7 linked regions of the Sus scrofa genome follow. The protein of the gene in region 1 purifies or fractionates together with the protein of each later gene. This does not show direct contact. Links are inferred from orthologs where the notes say so. Each region holds a gene or a part of one and is shown on either strand. Other genes may lie near its edges.

Region 1 (3,500 bases):
CTACCTTTTTTTTCTAGGTAGCAATTACAGTGAAAAATGTGACGTCTTCAGCTGGGGTATTATCCTTTGGGAAGTAATAACACGTCGGAAACCCTTTGATGAAATTGGTGGCCCAGCTTTCCGTATCATGTGGGCTGTTCATAACGGTTTGTGAAACATTTTTCTTCAATATATTTTGTATATTTCCTGTTTGAAAATTGTTTCTCCCCCAAAGAAAACCATTTATCCCTAATATTAAAATATACGATTCCTTATTACCGGTCTCCAACCCTCCCCCACCCCAAAATTGGGTAAGGCTGGGAGCAGCGGTGGCTCTTGTACAAAGCTGAGAAGGTCTGCTGGCTATGCTCATTAGGGAAAGACCATCAGCAGACAGCAGGAGCCACCTACCTAGACCAGCTCTCTCTAGAGGCTAGGGGAGCACTGGGCTAGACTCTGTGGAGAAAATAAAATTTAAAAATTAAATGAATAAAATATCTCACATTTTTGAGATAGTTGGGGAGGTACGGCCTTTTTCTCCTGAGGAAGCAGGTGTCTCACTGAGGAGAGAAAGCAGCGAATAATAAGAGTTGTTAATTAAGGTGCTTCTAAAAGCAAACACAGAGGGCTTCACATTGCCTTCTTTTTTTTTTTAATCTTCTCATCTGTCTTGTGAAGCGAGTACTATTATTGCCTCATTTTGCAGGTTTACATATTAGAAAACTGAGACCTAGAGTGGTTAAGTAACTTGCCCAGGGTCACAGGTGGTATTGTTGGGATGTAAGTCCGGATCTTGCTGATTCCAAAGTTAAACTGATATATGGACACAGTGTCTTTGCATCCCTCCTATTCCTTTTGTACCTTTAATGGTTATATTTCTCACAGTGTTACTAACCATTCATATTAGAATATATCATTAATCCAGTTACTTTCCAGTTGCTTTGGGAGAATAAACTCTTCATGAAGGAAAATTGCTTAACTTTCTTCTAACTTTCAACATCAGTCTCTTGTTTAATTTCTGTCACTTGATTACAGTTATTCTGATTAATAGCATTTTAACACACTATTCCACATGTGATACAAACAAACATCAGCCTCACCGTTTTGGTCAGTCATAGACATGTCAAACAGCCATGTGAGTTATCTCAAGTGTGTTTACCAGTTTCCAGTACCACCTTTCATTGTACTGCCTTTCTTGTCATTATAGAGAATGCTAGAGCATGACCCAGGACACAGTTTGTTTTCTTTTTCTGTCAATCGTCAGTAAATAATTGAATGTTAGTGAAGCAAGGAATAGAAGAAATAACTTGTTAGTTGGTAAATTTATAAAGATTTCATTGTGCATTTGAAGCCTTCTTTACGTTAGGGACCTTACTAAGGATATTACAGCCTTGTTAATTACACCAAAGTTGGCATTTTTCAGCCAATGAAATGATTGATTCACAGTGGTCCTGAGGTCTGCCTCCCGCAAAGGAACCATTTGGAGGTCAGTGAATTTGACATCATAATTGATGATTTTTGACATATGGAAGGTGATTTTTCAAGCACTTTTCAAATTTTTTATAAATCTGAAAATATAGTAAATAATTATCCCAATACCATTTTATTTACCTTAAAAAGACACACACTTGGAGTTCCCGTTGTGGCGCAGTGGTTAACGAATCCGACCAGGAACCATGAGGTTGCAGGTTCGATCCCTGGCCTTGCTCAGTAGGTTAAGGATCCAGCATTGCCATGAGCTGTAGTGTAGGTCACAGATGTGGCTCGGATCCCACGTTGCTGTAGCTGTGGTGTAGGCTGACAACAACAGCGTTTAGACCCCTAGCCTGGGAACCTCCATATGCCACGGAAGCAGCCCTAGAAAAGGTAAAAAGACCAAAAAAAAAAAAAAAAAAAGATGCACATTAAGCCATTATTTTTTGTTAAAAGAGCGTCTATAACAAATTAAACATTATTAACTCTAAGTTGTACTGCATATAAAACTTTCAATTTGGCTTTTCAAAAGGAGCAGCTTCCCCTTTATGAAAATTTAATGTTAATCTAAAGGACAGAAAAAATGTACTTTTATTCCTCCTTTTAAAAAAATCTTAAATCATAAGATCTGTAAAATAAATATTGCTTTGGAAATACATTTTTTAAAGAAAGCTTGTAGCATTCTTTGGGTAAATATACATTCTTTTCTCCTCTCCTCTAATTTTCAATTATAGGTACTCGACCACCACTGATCAAAAATTTACCTAAGCCCATTGAGAGCCTGATGACTCGTTGTTGGTCTAAAGATCCTTCTCAGCGCCCTTCAATGGAGGAAATTGTGAAAATAATGACTCACTTGATGCGGGTATAATCCTTCTTTTGAGGGGCTTTGGGTTTAAGCGAATTTTGTATATACTGAGTTTTAATGCAATTTTAAAGGGGCGCTATTGTCATTTTTTTGCTTATACTTTTCTGTATTTTCCACATTAGAATGAGTATTCCTGACTAATATAGTCAGAGGAAATGTGACTTTGGAGAAAAAAAAAATCTAGTTCTTTATAACGGAAAGGTGGCTAGATTAGGCTTCTAGACTTCTTTTTCTTCCTGCTTAACTTAGTTTTTAGATATGTTTGTTTCTAGTCCTGTTGCCTTATCTGTAATGTGAGAGAGGTTGAATTAGGTGATCTCTGAAGCCTCTGTAGAACTTAGGTATTTTATCACTCTAATACTTGCTAAACAAAATTTTAAATTTTCTTTAGTACAGATCCTTTTCAAGCAGTCATTTATGTAGTAGGTAGAGAGGCTGCCTTCCTAGACGCATTCACCAAAGTGATTTTTAGCCTTCGACTTTTCATTCCATATTTTCAGCTTTTCATTTGCCATTAAAAAGTTAAACTTTCTTAAAGGATCTATAGAATTTTGGTAGAGGAAGTGTTTTAAATGATTATCAGAATTCTCTAGTCTTTAAATCAAACACTTTTTTGTTTAGTACTTTTAGGCCTCTGGTTTTTGGTACACTAACAAAATTTCTCAAGAGGTTCTTTGACTTTAAAAAGTTTATGTCCTTATGAAAGTGTCTGAATTTCAGAACAACTTGCAAAGTAGAAGAATCATTCAATCTCTTTAAATATAGATTAAGAGATTTCCTAAATGGCCAAAGTTCATTCTACTGAAATTCTATTCTAAATAGAAATTCTATTCTAAATACGTCATTCTATTGAAAATAACTTAGGCAAACCACTTGAACAAATCTGATTCAAGCTTAACGTAATATTGGAAACTAGCTATGTCTAGAATCCTAGGACCTAAAGATACACTTCTAAGAAAGCAGCTCAGTCTCCATAATCAGATACCTTAAAACTTTGGATTATATAAATTGTTAAAATCTTAATTGTGCCTATATGTGCTTTGTATAATTTGAGAAGAACACCATTCCCCCCCCAAATTCTCATTTTAATCCAGCAAATATTTCCAATATTTTATCTCTTACAGACATTCATAATCTATCTTTGATATTTAAAATATTGATTCCAACATTTACCCTGTGA
Region 2 (3,368 bases), on another chromosome or scaffold:
TTCCTTGGAGTGAGTGAGCCCCCCCAAGGAGGGACGGGCACTTCATCTGAGAGGGAGCCGAGGGGTAGGCTGAGGAGGGGCGGCATCCTGGGGGGAGGGACCCGCCTGACTCCTAGCCATGACCTAAGCAGGGATTTGCAACCCCACTTAACAACCGAGCAAAGCCAGGCTCAGAGGGGTCAAGTGACGCCCAAGGCCTCGCAGCACCAGTTCAGTCCCGGTCCTTTCCGGGCCACCTCTGGGCTTGAGGGTAGAGGGCAGCACTCCTGGCCTGCTGGGGGCCGCTTGGGGATGTGACCTGATCCCACATGTGGTCCTAGGAGCGGGCAGCCAAATGGCGGACCCCCGACGGCCTGATGGACGGCTTAACCACCAACGGGGTGCTGGTGATGCACCCAGCCGGCGGCTTCTCTGAGGACTCAGCCCCAGGTGTCTGGCGGGAGATCTCGGTCTGTGGGAATGTGTACACTCTGAGGGACAGCCGCTCGGCACAGCAGCGGGGGAAACTGGTAGGTGGCCTGTTCACTGACCCCCTCCCCGTTCCTTCCCTGCCCTTCCAATCTGCCCTTCCCCCCTGCCCGAGCTGGGCGATGGCCTCGTCCTGCTGCACAAGGGAGCCCCAACAGTCTCCGTGTGGGGGCGTTGCCTCTTGTCCCCATAGAGGGGACCAGACCAGCATCTGCAAGTAGAGCCCACATACTGCCAGAGGTCCGTGGGGGGGTGGGAAGTGGCGCACACAGACACACCGCGCAAGACCAAGTGGCGGTGGGGTGTCAGCCGCTTAAAAATTCACACCCTCTTACGAGGGTGACACTTGGCCTGTGTGTGAGCAATTTATAGCCTAAAGTGTTGGCAGTTTGTAATGTGTCTGTCACATTCACACGGGCTTAGCTTTATTCTCTCCCAGCAGGAAAGGGCCTTGAGAAGCTCTGACACAGGTGACAGTGAACGTACCACATGGTACAGATCAGAGAATTAATGTGAGGTTCGCGGGGCCAAGCGCCTCAAATGGCCCACGCAGAGTTTTTTCTCTGTATGAGCAAGTTGGGCAAGGAAATGCCAGACCCCAAGGAAAAGCATGGCTTTTGTTTCCAGAGCATCGACTCTATGGGGAGATCTGAGGAAACATTATTTTTTCAAGTTATGCCTGTGACTGTTTCACTAGTACACACTTATTGAGCACCTACTGTGTTCCAGGTACTGTTCTGTGTGTTTACATTGATGGATTCATGAGAACCACTTGCTAGACAGGGAAGCAGAATCCGTCTTGAGGATAAGAAGTTAAGACACAGAGAGGATGAGTTACTCCCCCAGGGACACAGAGTTAGGAAACGATGGTGAGGCTGGAACTTTCAGCCAGACAATCTAGTGCCGGAGTCCTTGCTTTTAACCACAGCCCTTAGGACAGCTGCTTTGAGCTAAGTCCCCAGTGTTTTGGACAGAGGACTTTCTGGCCTCTTCCATTAGGGGAGAGCCTGGGAAAATGTTTTAGAAAACCCTCATTTTGGTCTAGACCTTCTGATTTGACAGATGAGGTGACCAAGGCCCACGTTCCACGGAGAGTAAGCAATGGTGCCTGCCTGGGACGACTTGCCTACCTTCCCATGGCTTCTCAGTCTTTCCTGCTTCTCTGCCCCAGGCCTCCCCTCTCCTCTGTCCCAGCCCTACTGCCTCCTCTGCCCCAGCCCTACCCCTCCTCTGCCTGAGCCAGCACCACTGGTTCTGGGTGCTCCCTCCAGGGAGGTTCAGTGGGATGGATGTGGGGGGGGGGGCTTGTCTGGGGTGATGGTGGCCGATAGCAGGGGTTTCAGGAGCCTCTTGGGCACTAAGGCCCTTCCGCTGCCCCTGCAGGTGGAAAATGAGTCCAACGTGCTGCAGGACGGCTCCCTCATCGACCTGTGTGGGGCCACGCTGCTGTGGCGCACGCCGGCGGGGCTGCTGCGGGCACCCACGCTGAAGCAGCTGGAGGCCCAGCGGCAGGAAGCAAACGCGGCTCGGCCCCAGTGTCCCGTGGGCCTCAGCACCCTGGCTTTCCCCAGCCCGGCCCGTGGCCGCACTGCACCCGACAAGCAGCAGCCCTGGGTCTACGTCCGCTGCGGCCACGTCCACGGCTACCATGGCTGGGGCTGCCGGCGAGAACGGGGTCCCCAGGAGCGCGAGTGTCCTCTCTGCCGCCTCGTGGGGCCCTATGTGCCCCTGTGGCTCGGCCAGGAGGCTGGCCTCTGCCTGGACCCTGGGCCGCCCAGTCACGCCTTTGCGCCCTGCGGCCACGTCTGCTCCGAGAAGACTGCCCGCTACTGGGCTCAGACGCCGCTGCCCCATGGCACCCACGCCTTCCATGCCGCCTGCCCCTTTTGCGGGGCCTGGCTCACTGGCGAGCATGGCTGTGTCCGCCTCATTTTCCAGGGGCCGCTGGACTAGGCTCCCTGGGGCCTCCTGCTGCTGCGCCCGCCTGCCCACCCAGGTCCCCCACCTCCTGCAGCCCAGAGGGAGCTCTGCATGTGGGACTCTACCTGCTGGCACATAGCCAGCCGGATGGACGCGTTGGATGGGCTGTGCCCTTCCTCTCTTAACTCTGACTCCGAAGGGGGTCCCCGCGACTCCTATCCCCAGTCAGAATAATGGGGCCATCGGCACCAGCTCTCACTCGGCCGATGGAGGGGAGCCCACCCCTGTGCCCCAGCCCGTCCTGGGGCATCCCACATCATGCCGCCTACACTGTGCCCCTGGGGGAGTGAAGGGGCCGGGAGCCCCTGACCCCCAGCTTAGGCTGGCTGTGCCCTGAGCCTGCCAACCCAGCTCCAGATCATCGCCCTGCTGCTGCTCTGGGTTCCTCTATAAACCTTGCCGCTCAGCTGCCCTCCCAAATCCCGCGCGTCCCACGTGCGTGCATCGCCTCCCGCCCCCGAGTGAGTGACGGGTGGGCGGCAGGCGGGGACTGACATCCGCTGAGCCCCCACGGCGGTCTGGACTGCTTGCCAAATGGGATCTGGGGACACAGAGACAGTCAGACCTGGTTCCCTGCCCGGTGGAGTTCGCAGGCTAGTGGATGCCAGCCCAAATTACTGAATGACAGCCTGGCTTCCTGTGTGCTAGGATCCGAGAAGTATCGGGAGCTGTGAAGCCGGTCTCACTGGCGGGTAGGAAAGCGAGGAGTGAGAGAGATTCACTGAGGAGGTGCATCCGGGCTCAGCCCCAGTGGCTGGCTGGGGATCCTTACAGGAGGGGAGGGAGGGGGCCCCAGACAGAAGGGAGGCGGGGCACAGGCTCAGGTGTAAGTGTGCAGGGAACTGAGTGAGGGGTTCAGAGTGGCTGCAGCATGGACTGCAGCGGGGCAGAAAGGGGCCTGGAGGTTGGGGCCGTGCTGG
Region 3 (3,500 bases), on another chromosome or scaffold:
TGTAAAAACTTTATTTTGTTTTTTTGGCCACCCTGTGACACATGGAGTTCCTGGGCCAGGGGTCAGATCTGAGTCGCAATTGCAACCTACTCTGCAGCTATGGCAACACGAGATCCTTTAATCCACTGTGCCAGGGACCAAACCTATGTCCCAGCACTCCAGAGATGCTGCCAATCCTGCTGCATCACAGTGGGAACTCCTGTAAAAACCTTTTAAGACAATGAGGAAAATTAAAACCAACTGAATTTCAGGGAGTTCCCACTGTGGCTCAGTGGATTAAGAACTCAACTAGTAACCATGAGGACACGGGTTTGATTCCTGGCCTTGCTCAGTGGGTTAAGGATCTGATGTTGCTGCAAGCTGCAGTGCAGGTCACATATGCAGCTCAGATCTGGTATTGCCATGGCTGTGGCTGTGCCTACAGTGTAGGCTGGCAGCTGCAGCTCTGATTCAACTCCTAGCCTGGGAAGTTTCACAGGCTGCAGGTACAGCCTTAAAAAGAAAAAAGAAAAAGAAAACCAACTGAATTTCAGATGAAATTATGTTAAGTGTATTTGATAATTGTATGCTATGGGCTAAATGTCTAGTTATCTCCCCAAAATTCATGTGCTGAAGCCATAATCCCCAATGTAATGGTACTTGGAGGTGGGGCCTTTGGGAGAAAATTAGGTTTAGATGAGGTCACAAGGATGGGACTCCATGATGGGATCAATGTCTTTATAAGAAGAAGATGAGAAAGCAGAGTGCTCTCTCTTGGCCATGTGAAGACATAGAGAAGGCAGCCCTCTGCAAGCCTGGAAGAGTCCTCCTTACCAGGAACCAAATCTGCCTACACCTTGATCTTGTATTTCCCAGCCTCCAGAACTATGAGAAACAAATGTTGTTTAAGTCACTTAGTCCACGGTACTGTTCGAACAGTCTGAGCAAGCTAACACACATTATCAAGGTTATCTTAAAAAAAGTCCTTACCTGTTAGATATTTACTCAAGTATTTATAGGTAAATGATACATAGAATGTCTGGGATGTACTTTGAAATACTACAACAAAAAAAAGTTGGGGAAAGAAATGAAGCAAGATTGGAAAAGTGTTGATAGTTACTGAAGCTGGTTGATGGGTATGTGAAGGTTCATTATCCTGTTCTCTCCACTTTTGAGTATGTTTGACATTTTCCATAATAAAAAGTTTTAAAAAAATGTTTATCCTAATGGGAATATGAGAGGAGAGAAATGAATGGGCCACAAAGTCATATAAGATACTACCCATAATGAAGTGATGTTAGGTGTTTCTTGTTTTTTGAAACCAGGCATACATACCTTTCTGTAATGAAGTCTGACTTGATTCATCTTGTGCATTGTCTTTCTGAGCACTCACTAAATCTGCAACCAGAACCTCAAGTGATTTATAGTTGCTTCCAGATGTCTCAATCTTTTCCTCCATTATTTTCTTAATGTCCTTGAAACTGAATCCCATTCGTATAGCTTCTTGTACCATAGGATTCTGGAATATGGTATCATCTGAAACGAGAATTGGTGATGAAAATAATCATAGTTTATTTTCATCAACACAACTTAAGAGCAAAGTATAGTTAAAAGAAAAATTTAAGCAGCAAGCAAAAAAAATCAAAACCAAAGCAGCAAACCAAAGCTGCATAGGAAAGAGGATTTTGAAATAGTGAGGCACTGAAGAATCACTTTCAGAATCTTATAATAGAAATGCAGTGAGGGAGTTCCCTGGTGCTCAGCAGGTTAAAGATCCAGCATTGTCACTGCTGTGGCTTGTTGCGGGGGGTGGGATTACTGCTGTGGTGTGGGTTCAGTCCTTGGCCTGGGAACTTCCACATGCCATGGGTGAGGCCAAAAAAAATACAAGTAGGTATTTTGTAGAACTATGAATTGAGATTAGGTGCTTTAAAGACTATGATGAGGGAGTTCCCGTTGTGGCTCAATGGAAACAAACCCGACTAATATCCATGAGGATGTGGGTTCGATCCCTGGCCCTGCTCAGTGGGGTCAAGGATCCAGTGCTGCCACAAGCTGTGGTATAGGTCACAGATGTGGCTTGGCTCTGGCATTGCTGCGGCATAGGCCGGCAGCTGCAACTCTGGTAAAACAGATAAGAAAAGGGTTAAGAGCATCAAAAATTTGAACATCTTTCAAATCAGCTGTACCCATTAACAACTAACATAAAGTACTTAAAAGGGTGGATGTCTTTACTGAGTCACCAGCAATTATTCTGAAAAAAATCAAGAGAAATAGAGAGATGTCCCAGTCTGTGATCTTGAATGTATCAGTTTCCTATCCTCAGACTAAGTTTCTGCAGCTGAGGGGGGTGGACTAGCTAAGGCAGGAAAGCAAATAGAAACTCACTTTAATAATACTCAAAGAAGGAATACACATTGTGATGTGCTAAAGAGGAGAATTCTATCCTTTGACTCATCAATTCCACTCTTGGGAATTAAAAATGAGAACATATGTCCACCAAAGACATACACAAGAATATTCATAGCAACATTATTTATAAAGCCCCAAACTGTAAATAATTCAAATATCTATCATCAGGTGAATGGATAAATTATGGTATATTCAAATACTACACAGCAAGAGAATGAACTACTGCCAGACAACATGGATCAATCTCATAGATATGATAAGCAAATCATCATCATAATGATGAACCAGAGGAAAAAAGGAGTATATACTGTATGATTACATTTTTAAGATGTTCAAATCTAATCTATGGTAATAGTAGAATATAATTTGGGGGTGGATATTTATTGGGAAGAGGGCCTGAAGGCACTTTCTGGGGTGGTGGAAATGCTCTATATCTTGATCTGGATAATGGACACACACACACACGTTAAAATTCACTGAGTTGAACACTTATGATTAGTGCACTTTGAGCATTTTATGTATATTATACCTCAATAACGGTTTTTAAAAGTGGAAGCTGGAAAGGGAGATATATAGGGATTTGATTATGAAGAATATTATATGGTAGGAAACTAACTTAAGACTTGTGGGTTTTTTGTTATTGTTTTTGCTTGTTTGTTTTTTGGCCACATCTGTGGCACATGGAAGTTCCCAGGCCAGGGATCAAACTCACCACAGCAGTGACCCAGCCATTGCAGTGACAACACTGGATCTTTAGCCCACTTCGCCACAGGAGAACTCTTAAGATTTATGTTTGATAAAGAAAAATTCTGGAGTTCCCGTCGTGGCGCAGTGGTTAACGAATCCGACTAGGAACCATGAGGTTGCGGGTTCGATCCCTGCGCTTGCTCAGTGGGTTAATGATCCGGCGTTGCCGTGAGCTGTGGTGTAGGTTGCAGACGCGGCTCGGATCCCACGTTGCTGTGGCTCCGGTGTAGGCTGGCAGCTACAGCTCCGATTGGACCCCTGGCCTGGGAACCTCCATATGCCGCAGGAGCGGCCCAAAGAAATATCAAAAAGACAAAAAAAAAAAAAAAAAAAAAAAAAAAAAAAAAAAAAAGAAAAATTCT
Region 4 (3,500 bases), about 180 Mb from region 1:
TTTAAGGTACCAACATACTGCAGTCGTGTGGTTCAGGATTGAGAGGGAAAGTGAGAACTTTTAATACATCATAAATGTTCTAAACCCATCTGAAGTATTGTTATTCTACTTACAGATAATGGTACATGGACTCAGCTTTGGTTGGTGTCAGATTATCATGAACATGGATCCCTTTTTGATTACTTGAATAGATACACAGTTACTGTGGAAGGAATGATAAAACTTGCTCTGTCCACAGCAAGTGGACTTGCCCATCTTCACATGGAGATAGTTGGTACCCAAGGTAAGTCAAAGCAGTCTTGTTATTAAGCTTTAAATGTCCTTGGATCTGATGTCCACTTGGAAAAGTTTTGCAAGAAGTCAGTCTAATGGGAGATGTTTAAACTGAGTTTTTAGATGAGAATACTGAGTGAAGTAAGTCAGAAAGAGAAAGACAAATATCACATAATATCACTTATATCTGCAATCTAATATACAGCACAAATGAACCTTTCCACAGAAAAGAAAATCATGGACTTGGAGAATAGTCTTTCTGTTAAATCTTAAGAGTTAGGAATCTAGGAGTTCCCATCGTGGCACAGAGGAAACGAATCCGACTAGGAACCGTGAGGTTGTGAGGTTCCTGGCCTCGCTCAGTGGGTTAAGGATCTGGTGTTGCTATGAGCTGTGGCATAGGCTGGCAGCTACAGCTCCGATTAGACCCCTAGCCTGGGAACCTCCATATGCTGTGGGTGTGGCCCTCAAAAAAGACAAAAGACAAAAAAAAAAAAGTTAGGAATCTGGGATTTTGTTGAGAGATTCTTTAGGTATTGTAACAACACTGATATTTTTGTGTCTTAAGATTGTATAGTCTTGCTTATGATTTTTGAGGATCTTGATTTAATTCAATGAATTTTATTCTTAATTGTACAACCATCAATTACAACCTAATTTTAGAACATTTCCATCCCCAATCCCCAGTCCATTCTCCCCACTCCCCCTGCAGCCTGTCCCCTGTAACCATAAATATTTCGAAGTCTGTGAATCTGTTTCCCTTCTGCAAGTAAGTTCATTGTATCCTCTTTTTGGATTCCACATACAAGTAATAGCATATAATGTTTGTGTCTGAGGATCTTGATTTTGGAATTCAATTTATATGTAGTATTAAATGAAATATGAAAATGCTCGGTAAACATCAACATGCTAGAAATTTTATCTGACCACCTAGTAATTATATTTGACCTTATGATAAGAAGACTGCATGGGACAGTTTTGTAGTTGAAAAATTGAATACTAAGTTTTGGTTATAAAATTTTTATGCTATGTTTGTGCCATAATATCAGATACCAGTTACATTTTCTGCTTTAATGATCATCCACTTGCTATTGATGGCTCCCACCCCCTACATTACTACACACATCACGTATGCTGTTTTACTATTTCAGCCAGCCCTGTCTTTGTAATTTTTATTGTTGATTTTTTATTTTTGAGTTATAATTCACATACCATACAATTTACCCATTTACTGTATAATTCAATGGTTTTTAGTATATTCACAGAGTTGTGCAGCTATCACTACAGTCAATTTTAAAACATTTTCATTGCCTCAAAAAGAACTCTATTTCTCCCCATTTCTTTAGCTTGAGGCAACCTTTAAATCTACTTTCCATCTCTATAGATTTGCTTATTCTGGACATTTCATATAAGTGGAATCATACACTAAGTTGTCTTTTGTGACTTGCTTCTTTCTCTTGGTATATATTTTCAGGGTTCATCCATGTTGTGGCATTTATCAGTACCATTTTTTATGGATATACCACATTTTGGGTGTCCATTCATCAGTTGATGGGCATTTGGATTATTTTTCCACTTTGAGCTATTGTGAATAATATTGCTATGAACTTTGGTGTATAAGTTTTTGTGTGGATATATGTTTTCATTTCTCTTGGACATACACCTGGGAGTGGAATTACTGAATCAGATAGTAACTCTGCCAAACTTTTTTTCCAAAGGTGCCTGTACCCTTTTAAATCCCACCAGCAGCATATGAGGGTTCCAGATTTTCCACATTATAATTATATTTTAATAGCACTCCTAGAGGCTAGTATTAAAGGTACATTCTAGTTGATTGGCAAAGGAAGTGATCTAGATTCTTGGTTGTTGGATTTGAAAATCAGTTACTAGGGTTCCTCTAAAAAATTCAGAGGGTGTCAACAAACAAATTAATATCTTTAACCCCCCCCCCGTCTTTAAGTGTTAGAGTTCCATTTTTTGAGCATCATATTTTAGAGCATCTTATTTTCTCTGCTTTCTTTAAAGGAATTAACTTCAGCAACTTTTTGTGTAATGATTCACTTTAGGTTGTTTAGTAATGGCTCAGTTATTGTGAGTGATGGAGGCCAAAATGCGTTGATAGTGAGTTTGGAGGAGAGGCTTTTGGACCCAAGTTGAGATTTGTGATTGGTATTACCCTTTATGCAACCATGTCTGATTTTTTTTCTTCTTCATTAGGAAAACCAGCTATTGCTCATAGAGATTTGAAATCAAAGAATATCTTGGTAAAAAAGAATGGAACTTGCTGTATTGCAGACTTAGGACTGGCAGTAAGACATGATTCAGCCACAGATACAATTGATATTGCTCCAAACCACAGAGTGGGAACAAAAAGGTACACTTATGGATACACTGTAATGTTCTTAAATCAACTTCTTTTCCTTCTTATTCCTATATACTTATCTTTCTGAAACTCAGCCTTGTACTTCATTAGATTGCCCACAGGTAGAACTACATCTCATGGTCTTGCCTGCTCTGAAGGCAAAGTTACCTGACTTAAAATGGTACCTGCTGATGAATGGTGCCCTTGCAGAAAGTATTACCACTAGTTCTGTTATCATATAATAGCTAATATTTATAGGGTACCTGCTCTGTACCAATCATTGTAATGGGTTTTTTATATAATCTCATTTAATGCTTTCCTCAAATACTGTACTGTAGTCAAACTGTATTCACATTTTTATTTCCTGAAAACGTGTCTTTCTCTCTTTTAACTTTAACATGTGCTGTATCCTAGAGCAGACTTTCTCCTCCTGTTTCTCTAACTTGTACTTAATCTTCCTTTCTCATAGGAATCCTTTTCTGGACTGTTAGGTTGTCCTTGCCAAGGACTCTCATAATATGCTGAACTTGGACTATTGAGGCACTTGGCACATTACAGCTGTCCATTTATTCGTCTGAATATCCAATTGGACCATAAGCTGCTTGAGAGCAGTCTTGTATTCCCAGCATCCATCACAGTGCCTAATACATTGTAGGTCTTCAGTAAATATTTGTTGAATCTATGAGTACTCAAAGAACATAGGTAGGCAGGTGTCACTACCCTCAATTCACAGATGAGGAAACCATCTCATGGAGGTTAAGTAATGGGGCCACCCTCATGGATGGTAAGCTGCAAAACTGAGAGTTGAACCTGGGCCTTTCTGACCCAAAAGGATTTACTCTGTGTATCACAGCATTTGCCACAT
Region 5 (3,500 bases), on another chromosome or scaffold:
CAGCCGCTCTCTGGGAGTCTGAGCCATTTCCTCCTCCTTGCCGACGGCCCCGCCTGAGCACCTGGGCTGCGGAAGTGCCTACGTGGACCTGCCAGCACCTGGCACACCACAGGGGCTCCCTGCACCTGGGCAAACCCTCGCTAGCCAGCTGTCACTCCAGAGCTGTGCTGGGGATGAGGGAGGGGAATTCTGAGCACAGCGTGTCTTGGGAACCAGGGGCAGCTTGCAGGCTGGGGGCCGCCTGGCCAGCAGTCTGCGAGGTCAAGCTGCCCTCCGGCCGACAGGCCAGGAGCAGACATGCAAAGCTCAGCTGAGGGCTCGGGGGCCCTGGATGGACCCCTGGTGCCGGGGGTGGGGGGGTGTGTGGAAGGGAAACCTCAGATAGGACATTTGTGCAGGCAGACTCCTGCCCTCTCCGATGCCGTGTCCATCTGGACACCCCGCCAGCCACCCTGGGACCCCAGTGCCCCCAAGACCCATCCCGAGTTAACCTCACGGGATTGGTGCCCACGATGGCAGAGACAGAGGGACCCCGAGTCAGAGTGACAGCCTGGGGCGGGATCCAGACGTCTCACTAACCTGGAAAATCGGAGGCGCGCTTCAGGCTGATGGGGGACTTGGCTCTCTGCAGCTGGAGGTGGGGAGCAGAAGGAAGAGACAGAGGACACGATCAGACAAGGCCCGAGACGCGTGTCATCGGAGCTCGGGGAAGAAGGAAACTGAGTCGAGCCCACGCCGGCCCTTGCCACGTGGCTGCTGGAATCACAGAAGGCACAGGATGCCCGTCTCCACGCGGCTCCCCGGCCCCACGCGGGCAGCTGCTGGAATAAACAGCCCCCCAACCCCACCCTGAGGGAGGCTGTGCCATGTGGTCTGGATGGTACATGGAGCGGCAGGGGGGAACGGAGGGTGAAGCTGGGCAGAGCTGGGTATAGGACACAGGAGGATGGCAGGAAAGGAGGTGGCATCGCGGCAGGCTTTGCCGCGCCACGTGTGCGAGGGCGGGGGAGCAGAGGCGCTGCCCGGCCCCCTCGTAGGAGACCATTCCCGTCATTCCTTTGCTCACTCGTCCACTCGCTCACGCACACGTGTTCATCCCTCGGCCCAGGGGTGGCGCAGATACTGGGCACAGCGGACGGGTTTGCTGCTGTGAGTCCAGCGCCCGTCACAAGCCACTAACATCCATAAACGCGTGACAGGTACTCAATACCTATTTGTTCGATAAACGAATGAATTCGGAGGTAATGCCTCTTTCATTCTCTCTCCCTCTTGCTCTCCTTTTTTCCCTTCTACTGCAGGCACGAGAGATGAGGGCATGGATAAAAACAGCAAAGGAAAAAGCACAAGGGGGCACGAGTTCCGTTCACAGCACGAAAACAGGTGGAGAGGCATCTGGGCTCCGAGACCCACTGCGGAACCACGTGGGGGCCCCCCCGCTGCATCCTCGCCCACCCACCCCCATCTCACCGGCCCCACCTGCGACGGTCCCGCCGCCGCCGCCTGCCCTCCTCCCCCCGCAAGCACCTGGATGCCCTTGAGGTTCATCCTCCGCTTGGGCGGGTGGTAGGGCAGGAAGTATCGGCTGTCTTCCGGGGACTCCTCTGAGGTTGAAGAATCGTCAGCCTCCTGCCCGTTGGTCCTGGGGCTGCTGTCCCCGAAGTTCTGAGAGATGATGGTCACGGGCAGGTTTCTGGGCAGACTCTGGAGGCAAGGAGGGAGCCGGGTCAGTGATGGAGCCCGAGGAGCGGATGCCAGCCAGGGGAACGGCTCTGCCAATGTGCCATCATTCCCTCAGGCACCCAAGCCTGAAACTCAGGATGACCTGCTCCCCTTTCCCAACCCCCGCACCCAGCCCGATGCCAGGACCTATCATTCTAGCTCTGCTCTCCTCCCCACAAGCCCTGGTCCCCTCCCTCCTGCCAGGGGCTGGAGCAGCCCTAGTGCTTTTTGCAAGGGCAAAGGGACTGCCTCCTTGCTGGTTGCGGCCCCTCCTCTGATATGCCCCCACTGGATCCCTAATTTCTAGCCCTGCACTGAAGCTGCGAGTATAAAAATTGCTGCTGTGTAACACCAGTGCCAGGCACCGCCCTAAGGGACCCATGTCACGATCTGGGGCCGAGGCGCAGGGACCCTCTCAAAGCTGCACGACACCCTTCTGCTAAGTTGCCTCCAAACGCACAGCTTTGGGCCGTGCAAGAAGTACGATGCAAATCATCACAGTCCAAGAATAACTCAGACCAAGGTCCTTGGCTGACGGGCCACTGTGCTCCCTTCTGCTCCGCCCTCCAGCCACACCTCCCGCCTGTCCCCGCCACCCACTCTACAGATGGCAGAACCGCCAGGGGCGGCCCGTCCATGGCATGCCCTGTGTGTCACACCCCCGGACCTCGGCTTGTGCTGTCCCTGTGGCCTGGAACACCGGCCCCATCCCCCTGACCTAGCGGGGGCCTTGGTTCCCGGATTCGGCAGGCGTGCCCGGAGAGTCCACCCCGTGCCTGGCCCCGCGCCACGTGCTGGACAAACAGAGGCGCCTACAGGGAGCTTCTGCATCATCACACACCGTGGGACATGCCCACAGGGACAGCCTAACACAGAGGCTCCTGGTTTCCATTGTGGGGGTCGGGGAAAGCCTCGCGGAGGAAGTGACACTTCAGCCATGCCCAGGAGAAGTCAGAGGGGCAGCTTTCCAAGTGGGGATCTTGGCCTCTCCTGCAGGGAGGCTCTCTGGAACCCTGAGAGAATGGGGGCCCCCTGCCCTGGGCTCCCGCAGCCCCCCTGCACTCATAATTCACAATCTGGGTTGGATGCCGTGTCAGTCTGCCTCCATCGCTGGCTCTGAGTCCTCGGCGGGGGGCGGGGGCGGGGGCGGGGGGTGTTGTCCCAGCTCCTCCAGGCCACGGTCTCGTGATGCCCTCAGGCAGGTGGCTTAGCTATTTGTATTCCGATTCCACCCTTGGCCACGGGAGACCGTGATCTCACCATCCCGGCAGGTCAGTTCCGTGGCCTAAACGAGACCCTGGCACAGCACCTGCATGAGACGGCGCCCAAACCCACAGCTGCAGGAGTAGCAGCATCTGTTCTGATGGCAGGAACATTCACGTCTGGATGCCTGGGACCCTGCTGTGACATGTGCCCTGAACTTTCTATCACCCGTAAACGGCAGTTTCCTTACGGGCCCTGGTGACTTTAATGGGAGCAGGGCATCTTAAACCCAGCGACCGTCCCGATGGGTTTAAGGAAACCCAGGGGCAAGGCTGAGGGCTGGCAGAGGGCAGCCGAGCACGAGCTGCAGTCCTAACGTGGACGTGGCTTGCCTGAGCCCACCCGGCCAGGGGTGGCCAGGCCAGGGTTTTGCTGCATCTTCCAGCTACAAAACGAGCGGCTTCTGCTCATCGCTACCCAGACGCAGGACGGTCCCGGGCCCCGGTGGGGAAGGGCACGGGTCTGCAGGGCGGGCGCAGGCCCGGCCAGCCCACCTGGTCCAGGCTGCTGCTGTCCTT
Region 6 (3,947 bases), on another chromosome or scaffold:
AAGCCCAGCTCCCGCTTTCGGGTGCTCAGCTCCAGGGAATGCCCACCAGGTTCTGAGTGGTCTCTGTGAAGCCCTTCTCACTAGGTACATTGATTTCCTAGGCTGCCGTGAGAGAGTCCAAGGCAGATGGCTTAAGACAACAGCATTTGTCCTCTCTCCGTTCTGGAAACCAGGAGCCTGAAGTCAGGGCGTGGCAGGGCCCTGTTCCCTCTGGGGGCGCCAGGGGAGGGTCCTTCCTGCCTCTTCCAGCCTGTGGTGGCTCCAGGCATCTCTGGGCTGGGGCCGCATCACTCCAGTCTCTGCATCTTCACGTGGCTTCTTCTGTGTCTGTCTCTCCTTTTGTGTCTCTTAGAAGGACACTCATCATTGGATTTAGGGCTCCCCTGATCCAGGAGGACCTCATTTCAGATCCTTCACTTGTATTACATCCTTTTCCTTCTTTCCTTTTCCCTTTCCCTTTTTTTTTTTTTTTTTTTTTTTTTTTTTTTGCTTTTTAGGGCTACACTTGAGGTATATGGAAGTTCCCAGGCTAGGGGTCTCATTGGAGCTGCAGCTGCCAGCCCACATGAGTGAGAGCCACAGTGACACGGGATCTGAGCTGCGTCTGTGACCTATACCACAGCTCACGGCAATACTGATCCTTAACCCGCTGTGTGAGGCCAGGGATCGAACCTGCATCCTTATGGATACTAGTTGGGTTCTTAACCAGCTGAGCCACAATGGGAACTCCAACAAATCCCCTTTCCCAATCAGTCCCGGTTCCGGGGCCCAGGGAGTGGACCCATCTTACTGCTTGGAGGTGTGGGGAGGGTGGGCATTCCAGCACAGCGACCCCTGCCTCCCAACCTCATCTCCGTCGATTCTCCTCTGTGGTGAAATCGGCAGCTTCAGCGTCCAGCCGGGAGCTAGCCTGAGGCGCCGTTTACGGCCGGTGCTGAACCGTGACCTTTGCGAGCCCCACATGAGGGGAATGTGAGCCACTCGTAGACCAAAGAGCCCTTTTTAGCGCCTTTTCCACTTGGCAAAGTGCTTGTCCTTCTGCCGAGCGTGGCCCTGGCACTCCCTGTCCTGCAGGGTAGGAGAGTTCTGCCTGGGTCTCCTCACGCGATGCCTCTGCTGGCATCTCTTTCAGACGCTGACTTGTTGGATGAGCAGGACCCCCTGGAAGAGTCAGCCGTGTGAGATGGTGCAGCCTAGCGGCGGCCCGGCAGGGGACCAGGACGTGCTGGGTGAAGAGTCCTCTCTGGGGAAGCCAACCATGCTCCACCTGCCTTCGGAGCAGGGTGCTCCTGAGACCTTCCAGCGCTGCCTGGAGGAGAATCAAGAGCTCCGAGGTGAGGGCGGCAGCGGGCCTGTGCCCCGAGATCCCGGGCCGGCGCCTCCCACCTGCCGCACCTCTGCCTTCCTGGGACTGGGGCGGCGTGCACCCGGGCGGGTTAGTGATTTGGTCCCAGCCGCCGCCCCCGCCCTGGTCCAGGTGGGGTTTCCGGGAAGTGGACGCCGAGATCCAGGGAGGCACGCAGGAGGTTTATTCAGAGTCCTCTGGGACCAGCCCTGCAGATGGGGAGGGGAGGGCAGGGCAGCGAAGAAGCAGGGGTGGGTGCAGGGAGAGGCCCACCCTGCAAGGGGCTTGAGCTGGAATATGGCCCTTCTGCGTTGTCCCGGTTGGGCCGACGCCGCCAGGCCCTGGTGTCTCCGTACTCATGTACTGACCAGTCAGTCAGAACCAGCCTTACTGGGAGGGGCGCGGGTCTCCTGGGAAGGGGGCGGGATCTGCTCCAGGAAGGGGGTGTGGTCTGCGCTGGGAACGGGCGTGGCCTCCCTGGGAAGGGCCGGGGGGCGGCTTTGGGAAGGAGGGGCCAGGCGGCGCCGGGGACCTGACGGAGGGCTGTGCTCCAGCAGCACTTGCCGGGGGCGGGGGGTCGAGGGCTTTTCGGCACCCCCCACCCCCCCGCCTCCGTCCCAGCCCCACTCACCCAGCCTCCGCGTCCTCCCCTGTATCGGGGTCACCTTCTCGGGTCCCAGGGGCCATGGCTCCGTGCCCCTCAGGTGTGACCCGTTCTTGGCCCCCTCGTGTGGGACAGCGCCCCCTCCTCCTCGGGTTTGTGCCCTGGGCCTCCGCTGCTGGCAAGCTGCCCCTTTGGTGCAGTAGCCTGGGGCATCCGGGGGGGGCACCCCTAGCCTCTCATTCAGTGACACTCTTGTGGGTGGGAGGTTTCTTTTGGGGGTGATGGGAATGCACTGGAACTAGAGGGAGGGGCGGGTGCACAACTATATGAATACATTAAAGCCACTGAATGACTGTGTATTTTTTTTGTCTTTTTTTAGGGCCTCATTGGGGGCATATGGAGGTTCCCAGGCTAGGGGTCAAATTGGAGCTGCAGCTGCCAGCCTACGTCACAGCCACAGCAATGCGGGATCTGAGCCTCATCTGTGACCTACACCACAGCTCATGGGCAACGCCGGATCCTTAACCCACTGACCAATGCCAGGGATCAAACCTGCGTCCTCATGGATGCTAGTCAGATTCTTTTCCGCTGAGCCACAACGGAAACTCCTGATTGTGTATTTTAAAATAGTTAAAATGGTGAATTTGCTGTTACGTGAATTTTACCTCAATTAAAAACAAAAGTTGTGGGTTTTCTTGTGGTGCAGCAGGTTAAGGATCCAGTGTTGCCACTGCAGTGGCTCAGGTCGCTGCTGTGGTGCAGGTTTGCTTCCTGGCCCAGGGACTTCACATGCCGTGAGTGCGGCCCAAAAAAAGATCTTTAAAAAAACCCCCAAAACAGAGGTTTTGTGGGAGCTGAGGTGAACCTCGGACGGAGGCTTGGCAGGTGGCCGTTGGGGGGGACCATCTGCCTTCGGCAAGAGGCCTTGTCCAAGGCTTGTTGGTCAGCTGCACAGGAGGAGTCATGTGGGGACCGTGGAGTCCAGAAGGTGGCTTTGGAGTGGGGCTCAGAATTTGCCGTAGGAGTTCCCTGGTGGCTCGGTGGGTTAAGGATCTGGTGTTGTCACTGCTGTGGCTCTGGTCGCTGCTGTGGCACGGGTTCAACCCCTGGCCTGGGAACTTCCACATGCTGCAAGTGCAGCCAAGAAAAGGAGGGGAGAGAAAATAACTTGCTGAAGTTCTAGTGAAAGAATGTTCCAGTAGCAGGCACCAGTTAGCTGGTCACGTGTTTTGACCAGAGGGTGACATGAAGCCACTGCCTGCCCCGTGTCATCTGGCTCTGTGCTTGCTAGAACCTCTGCGTGCCGCTGATGAGTTTTGTCGCTCACGATGGCCTTCTGCCGCCTGGGGTGTCCGCTGGGTGTGTGGGGAGAGGACGACCGACTGGTCCCCGAGTTGGTCTTGTGTGCCGGCTCTTGGCTGCTTGTTTGTGTGACCTTCCTTGTCCCGTGAGATGGGTGTCATCGTCCCCGTTGGGACATGTCGATGAGGATGGTGGGGCTTCGGTGACCGGCCGGCTGGCTCCAAGGCTTCCGGCCCCCAGTCTGCGGCAGCAGGGCCACAGGGACGTTTGCCCTGTGTGGCCGGCCCCCTGATCCTGGAGGCAGTGACCGGGTGCCCTAGGGTAGGCCTGCCTCCCACCCGAGCAGAACATAGACGAGTTCCAGCGTCACTTACAAAAAAGGTGGCATCGGACCCAGAGCTCTCAGTGCACCTGATGTGTTTAATGTTTGATTGGAAAAGCATGGGCACGTGATGGGCACCACTGCTTTTGAAAGTGCGCTGCCTGGGAGAGGCCGGCGCCCTCACCTCCCTCTGCGTCTCCTCTGCCGCCAGATGCCATCCGGCAGAGCAACCAGATGCTGCGGGAGCGCTGTGAGGAGCTGCAGCGTTTCCAGGGCAGCCAGCGGGAGGAGAAGGAGTTTCTCATGCAGAAGTTCTGCGAGGCCAGGCGCCTGGTCGAGAGGCTGAGCCTCGAGAAGCTGGAGCTGCGCAGGCA
Region 7 (3,500 bases), on another chromosome or scaffold:
GAAACGAATCTGACTAGCATCCTTGAGGACGCAGGTTGGATCCCTGGCATCACTCAGTGGATTAAGGATCTGGCTTTGCCATGAGCTGTGATGTAGGTCACAGATGTGGCTCGGATCTGGCATTGCTCTGGCTGTGGCATAGGCCAGTGGCTACAGCTCTGGTTGGACCCCTAGCCTGGGAACCTCCATATGCTGCTGGTGGGCCCTAAAAAGCAAAAAAAAAAAAAAAAAAAAAAAATCAAGGCTCCAGAATCCATGTTCCAGAACACATACTGTATTGCCTTTAGAAGTTAGTCCAGTTTAGCTCTTCATGTATTGGCACAATGTTTCCTTTTCATCTTTTCTATTTTATTTTTCTTAGACCTACCCTTTTATTATGACAATGTATGAAAGATTCATATAGTCAACCCCTCCCCTTTTGGATTGAGGCCATAATTCTTTTTAATCTCAAATTCATCTGAACACTAGATAAATTATTTTATCTCTTAAAAGTAGTAAATATTTTAAGAGTTAAATGATTAAAACACAAATGGTGTCCTGATGGAGCTCAGTCCACCTTGTTGACTCCTAAATTGTGTAGTGGTCTAAATAATTTGAATTAAATGTCTAAATAATTTTAAATGTCTTCAGAGTTTTCCTACACTTTTTTCACTAAATATTGTTTCTGTTCTTACATTTGTGTGCCCCACTTTTTAAGGAACATTTTGTTAGATAGTTTAGAGAATTATAAGATATTGTGTAGTATCTGAACAAAATTTGCAAATGAAATAAAACTCTAAAGGACATGTCAAAAGTACAGAATGGTTGTCACTGATAGTTTTTTAGGCAATCCTTGTCATGAACATAAATATGCTTTATATGCTAATTATACTGTTGTCAACAGATATTCTTTTGTGGTAGGCATAAGTCATATAGGAATTTTATTTATTTCAAAATTTAAGGATACTATTTTTAGCAGATTATAAATAAGAACACATAAACCTGAATTGTAAATAGAACCCAGTGATAATATTAGATATGAATAGTTTAGCAGTTCTGTGAGATATGGATAAATTTTAAAAGCACATGACACAAAGCCGTTTGTCATAAAAAGCAGAGTATTCAGGAGTTCTCCTGGGGCTCAGTGGCTTAAGGATCCGGCATTGTCACTGCAGTGGTTCATGTCACTGCTGTGACTCAAGTTTAGTCCCTGGCCCAAGAATTTCTATATGCCACAGATGCAACCAAAAAAAGTAAAGTATTCAATATATATACTCATTCAGAATAAAAGGCAAAAAATACTCCTGTTTAATTTTTCAAAACTTAGTCTCTCTTTTTAAACCTGTGATATTATGCTAAACTCCAAATTGCTATTGCTTCTAGAGTTGTTGGATTCAGCACTATGGAATCCAGTTTGTTAAGAAACTGGTGAAATATATAGAAATAAAATATTAATATATATATAGCATTTACTGTGGCCTCAAATCCAAATATAAACAAATTCAGTCAATTCTTAGGTTTAAGAGAAAATTCATAAATCAATTATTCTTTTCCCTTACAGATTGCAGATTTTGGTTTATCAAAATGGCGTATGATGTCCCTCTCACAATCACGAAGTATTAAATCTGCTCCAGAAGGAGGGACAATTATCTATATGCCACCTGAAAACTATGAACCTGGACAAAAATCAAGGGCTACTGTCAAGCATGATATATATAGGTACAGTATATTACTTTTCCTCAGAGTTAATCTTGTCTACAAAATAAAAATTTTGAAGCTACATTTTAAAAGTATGATTTTTATGCTTGTCTAGTTTGATGAAAACAAATTAGAGATAGTGGTTAATATTTTTCAAATTAAAGATGCCTTGCTTTAAGCCACTTTTACATCCTTAAAAAATATTAAGGTATTTCTTATTGTTCTATTAATTTATAATATAATATCCAAGGATCTTTATCATATGACATTGATAAGGGGAGAGAAACAGTGTGATTAACACTTAACACTACCAAAGGAGATGGTACTTACCACCAAAAAAAAATCTGTAGAATAGGGCTACCTGGGAGAGTTTTTTATTACTCTTTGTGTGAATAATAGAATCATGTAATTAGAGGGCATAGCTTAATGTGTTCAAGAGTCACTCACAAGTTATCCTTGCCTATAACTTCAAGTTTTCATTACAATAACTTCCTAATTTTTCAAATTGAGTTAATTCCCCTTCAAAACAAAACTATATATGAACATTCATCATCTTAGTTCTATATAGTGATTCTTTAAGCAGCATTTCACTACCTGTCTCTACAGTCAGCTTTTAAATTCAGTACTATTTTAGTTTATTATGCTAGTTTATAATGTACTGTATATATATACATATGTATTTTATCTTAAACAGTTATGCAGTTATCACATGGGAAGTCTTATCCAGAAAACAGCCTTTTGAAGGTAAGTGTACTTTGGCTTCCTTTTTTCAGATGATATCATTTTGGCAAGTCTTACTCACTTGTTTTATTTATTTATTTATTTATTTATTTATTTATTTATTGTCTTTTTGCCATTTCTTGGGCTGCTGCCGCAGCATATGAAAGTTCCTAGGCTAGAGGTCTAATCAGAGCTGTAGCAGCTGGCCTACACCACAGCCACAGCAACGCCGGATCCTTAACCCACTGAGCAAGGCCAGGGATCGAACCCACAACCTCATGGTTCCTAGTCGGACTCGTTAACCACTGAGCCACAACAGGAACTCCCATACTCACTTGTTTTAAATCTCTCTACCATTCATTTTGTGGAAAACACTAGAAAAACATAATAATTTATCAATGTGACTCTATGATATATTGAAAGGTACAGAATTAAAGGTCAGAAAAATGTAGTTTCTTCTTGTTCTGATAGTTATTACCTCTATTAAGGCACTAAGTCTCTTGAGTCCTTATTTTTTTCATCTGCAAAATAAAATTTTGAGTTTTTATTTCTAAGATTCTTTCCAGCTATAAAATTCTTTATATGAATATTTAATTAGTTCTCCTTCTATAAAGACCAGCAAACATTGAAGAATAATTTTTAAATTTTCTGATAATACTGTCTCTTTCTTTTTTGAGGTTTATTTAGGTCATTTTGCTGTGTAACAACCCCAAAATCTCAATAGCTTACAAACTAAACGTTTATTTCTCATTCACATTAGATTTTAGTTGCTATGGCCCTTCTTGGTTCTGTTAAGTTCTACTCAGCTCTGCCAAGCTCTGTTATGCCCTGCTCTCTTCATACTCCATTGGCCAAATCAAATCACATTGCCAAGCCCAGAATTAAAGAGGTAAAGATATAAACTCTTTCCACAAGAGGCAGCCAAGTCTGGCAATAGCTGGGATATAAATATTCCTTTAACAGAAGGGGAGGTAATAAATTATTCCTAAGGTTTTAAGATTCCCTCACTTTCATTTGGTTGGCTTTAGAATATATTTAATATATTAGATCATAATGTATTTCTAATGAATGAAATATATTTGTTTTGACAGAAGTCACCAATC

What was found.
Region 2: the proteins of MAP3K7 (region 1) and PELI3 purify together in Homo sapiens (affinity purification with western blotting; 3 studies listed by BioGRID and IntAct, with this or other methods). This does not show direct contact. The link is inferred for Sus scrofa from reciprocal best matches to the Homo sapiens genes MAP3K7 and PELI3.
Region 3: the proteins of MAP3K7 (region 1) and XIAP purify together in Homo sapiens (affinity purification with western blotting; 3 studies listed by BioGRID). This does not show direct contact. The link is inferred for Sus scrofa from reciprocal best matches to the Homo sapiens genes MAP3K7 and XIAP.
Region 4: the proteins of MAP3K7 (region 1) and TGFBR1 purify together in Homo sapiens (affinity purification with western blotting; 3 studies listed by BioGRID). This does not show direct contact. The link is inferred for Sus scrofa from reciprocal best matches to the Homo sapiens genes MAP3K7 and TGFBR1.
Region 5: the proteins of MAP3K7 (region 1) and CARD11 purify together in Homo sapiens (affinity purification with western blotting; 3 studies listed by BioGRID). This does not show direct contact. The link is inferred for Sus scrofa from reciprocal best matches to the Homo sapiens genes MAP3K7 and CARD11.
Region 6: the proteins of MAP3K7 (region 1) and IKBKG purify together in Homo sapiens (affinity purification with western blotting; 8 studies listed by BioGRID and IntAct, with this or other methods). This does not show direct contact. The link is inferred for Sus scrofa from reciprocal best matches to the Homo sapiens genes MAP3K7 and IKBKG.
Region 7: the proteins of MAP3K7 (region 1) and RIPK2 purify together in Homo sapiens (affinity purification with western blotting; 4 studies listed by BioGRID). This does not show direct contact. The link is inferred for Sus scrofa from reciprocal best matches to the Homo sapiens genes MAP3K7 and RIPK2.

The regions. Positions count from the first base shown.
Region 1 is NC_010443.5:58,520,176-58,523,675, reverse strand, and holds part of MAP3K7 (mitogen-activated protein kinase kinase kinase 7), read left to right. Parts: intron 1-17; coding exon 18-146; intron 147-2,186; coding exon 2,187-2,317; intron 2,318-3,500. UniProt on the Homo sapiens protein: Serine/threonine kinase which acts as an essential component of the MAP kinase signal transduction pathway. Plays an important role in the cascades of cellular responses evoked by changes in the environment.
Region 2 is NC_010444.4:5,950,052-5,953,419, reverse strand, and holds the end of PELI3 (E3 ubiquitin-protein ligase pellino homolog 3), read left to right. Parts: coding exon 1-9; intron 10-320; coding exon 321-509; intron 510-1,851; coding exon 1,852-2,421; 3' UTR 2,422-2,868; downstream 2,869-3,368. UniProt on the Homo sapiens protein: E3 ubiquitin ligase catalyzing the covalent attachment of ubiquitin moieties onto substrate proteins. Involved in the TLR and IL-1 signaling pathways via interaction with the complex containing IRAK kinases and TRAF6.
Region 3 is NC_010461.5:101,427,677-101,431,176, reverse strand, and holds part of XIAP (E3 ubiquitin-protein ligase XIAP), read right to left. Parts: intron 1,516-3,500; coding exon 1,315-1,515; intron 1-1,314.
Region 4 is NC_010443.5:240,905,086-240,908,585, forward strand, and holds part of TGFBR1 (TGF-beta receptor type-1), read left to right. Parts: intron 1-115; coding exon 116-283; intron 284-2,490; coding exon 2,491-2,647; intron 2,648-3,500. UniProt on the Homo sapiens protein: Transmembrane serine/threonine kinase forming with the TGF-beta type II serine/threonine kinase receptor, TGFBR2, the non-promiscuous receptor for the TGF-beta cytokines TGFB1, TGFB2 and TGFB3.
Region 5 is NC_010445.4:2,165,378-2,168,877, forward strand, and holds part of CARD11 (caspase recruitment domain-containing protein 11), read right to left. Parts: coding exon 3,477-3,500; intron 1,702-3,476; coding exon 1,525-1,701; intron 632-1,524; coding exon 580-631; intron 1-579. UniProt on the Homo sapiens protein: Adapter protein that plays a key role in adaptive immune response by transducing the activation of NF-kappa-B downstream of T-cell receptor (TCR) and B-cell receptor (BCR) engagement.
Region 6 is NC_010461.5:125,043,733-125,047,679, forward strand, and holds the start of IKBKG (NF-kappa-B essential modulator), read left to right. Parts: upstream 1-1,147; coding exon 1,148-1,334; intron 1,335-3,784; coding exon 3,785-3,947. UniProt on the Homo sapiens protein: Regulatory subunit of the IKK core complex which phosphorylates inhibitors of NF-kappa-B thus leading to the dissociation of the inhibitor/NF-kappa-B complex and ultimately the degradation of the inhibitor.
Region 7 is NC_010446.5:47,040,634-47,044,133, reverse strand, and holds part of RIPK2 (receptor-interacting serine/threonine-protein kinase 2), read left to right. Parts: intron 1-1,540; coding exon 1,541-1,698; intron 1,699-2,371; coding exon 2,372-2,421; intron 2,422-3,488; coding exon 3,489-3,500.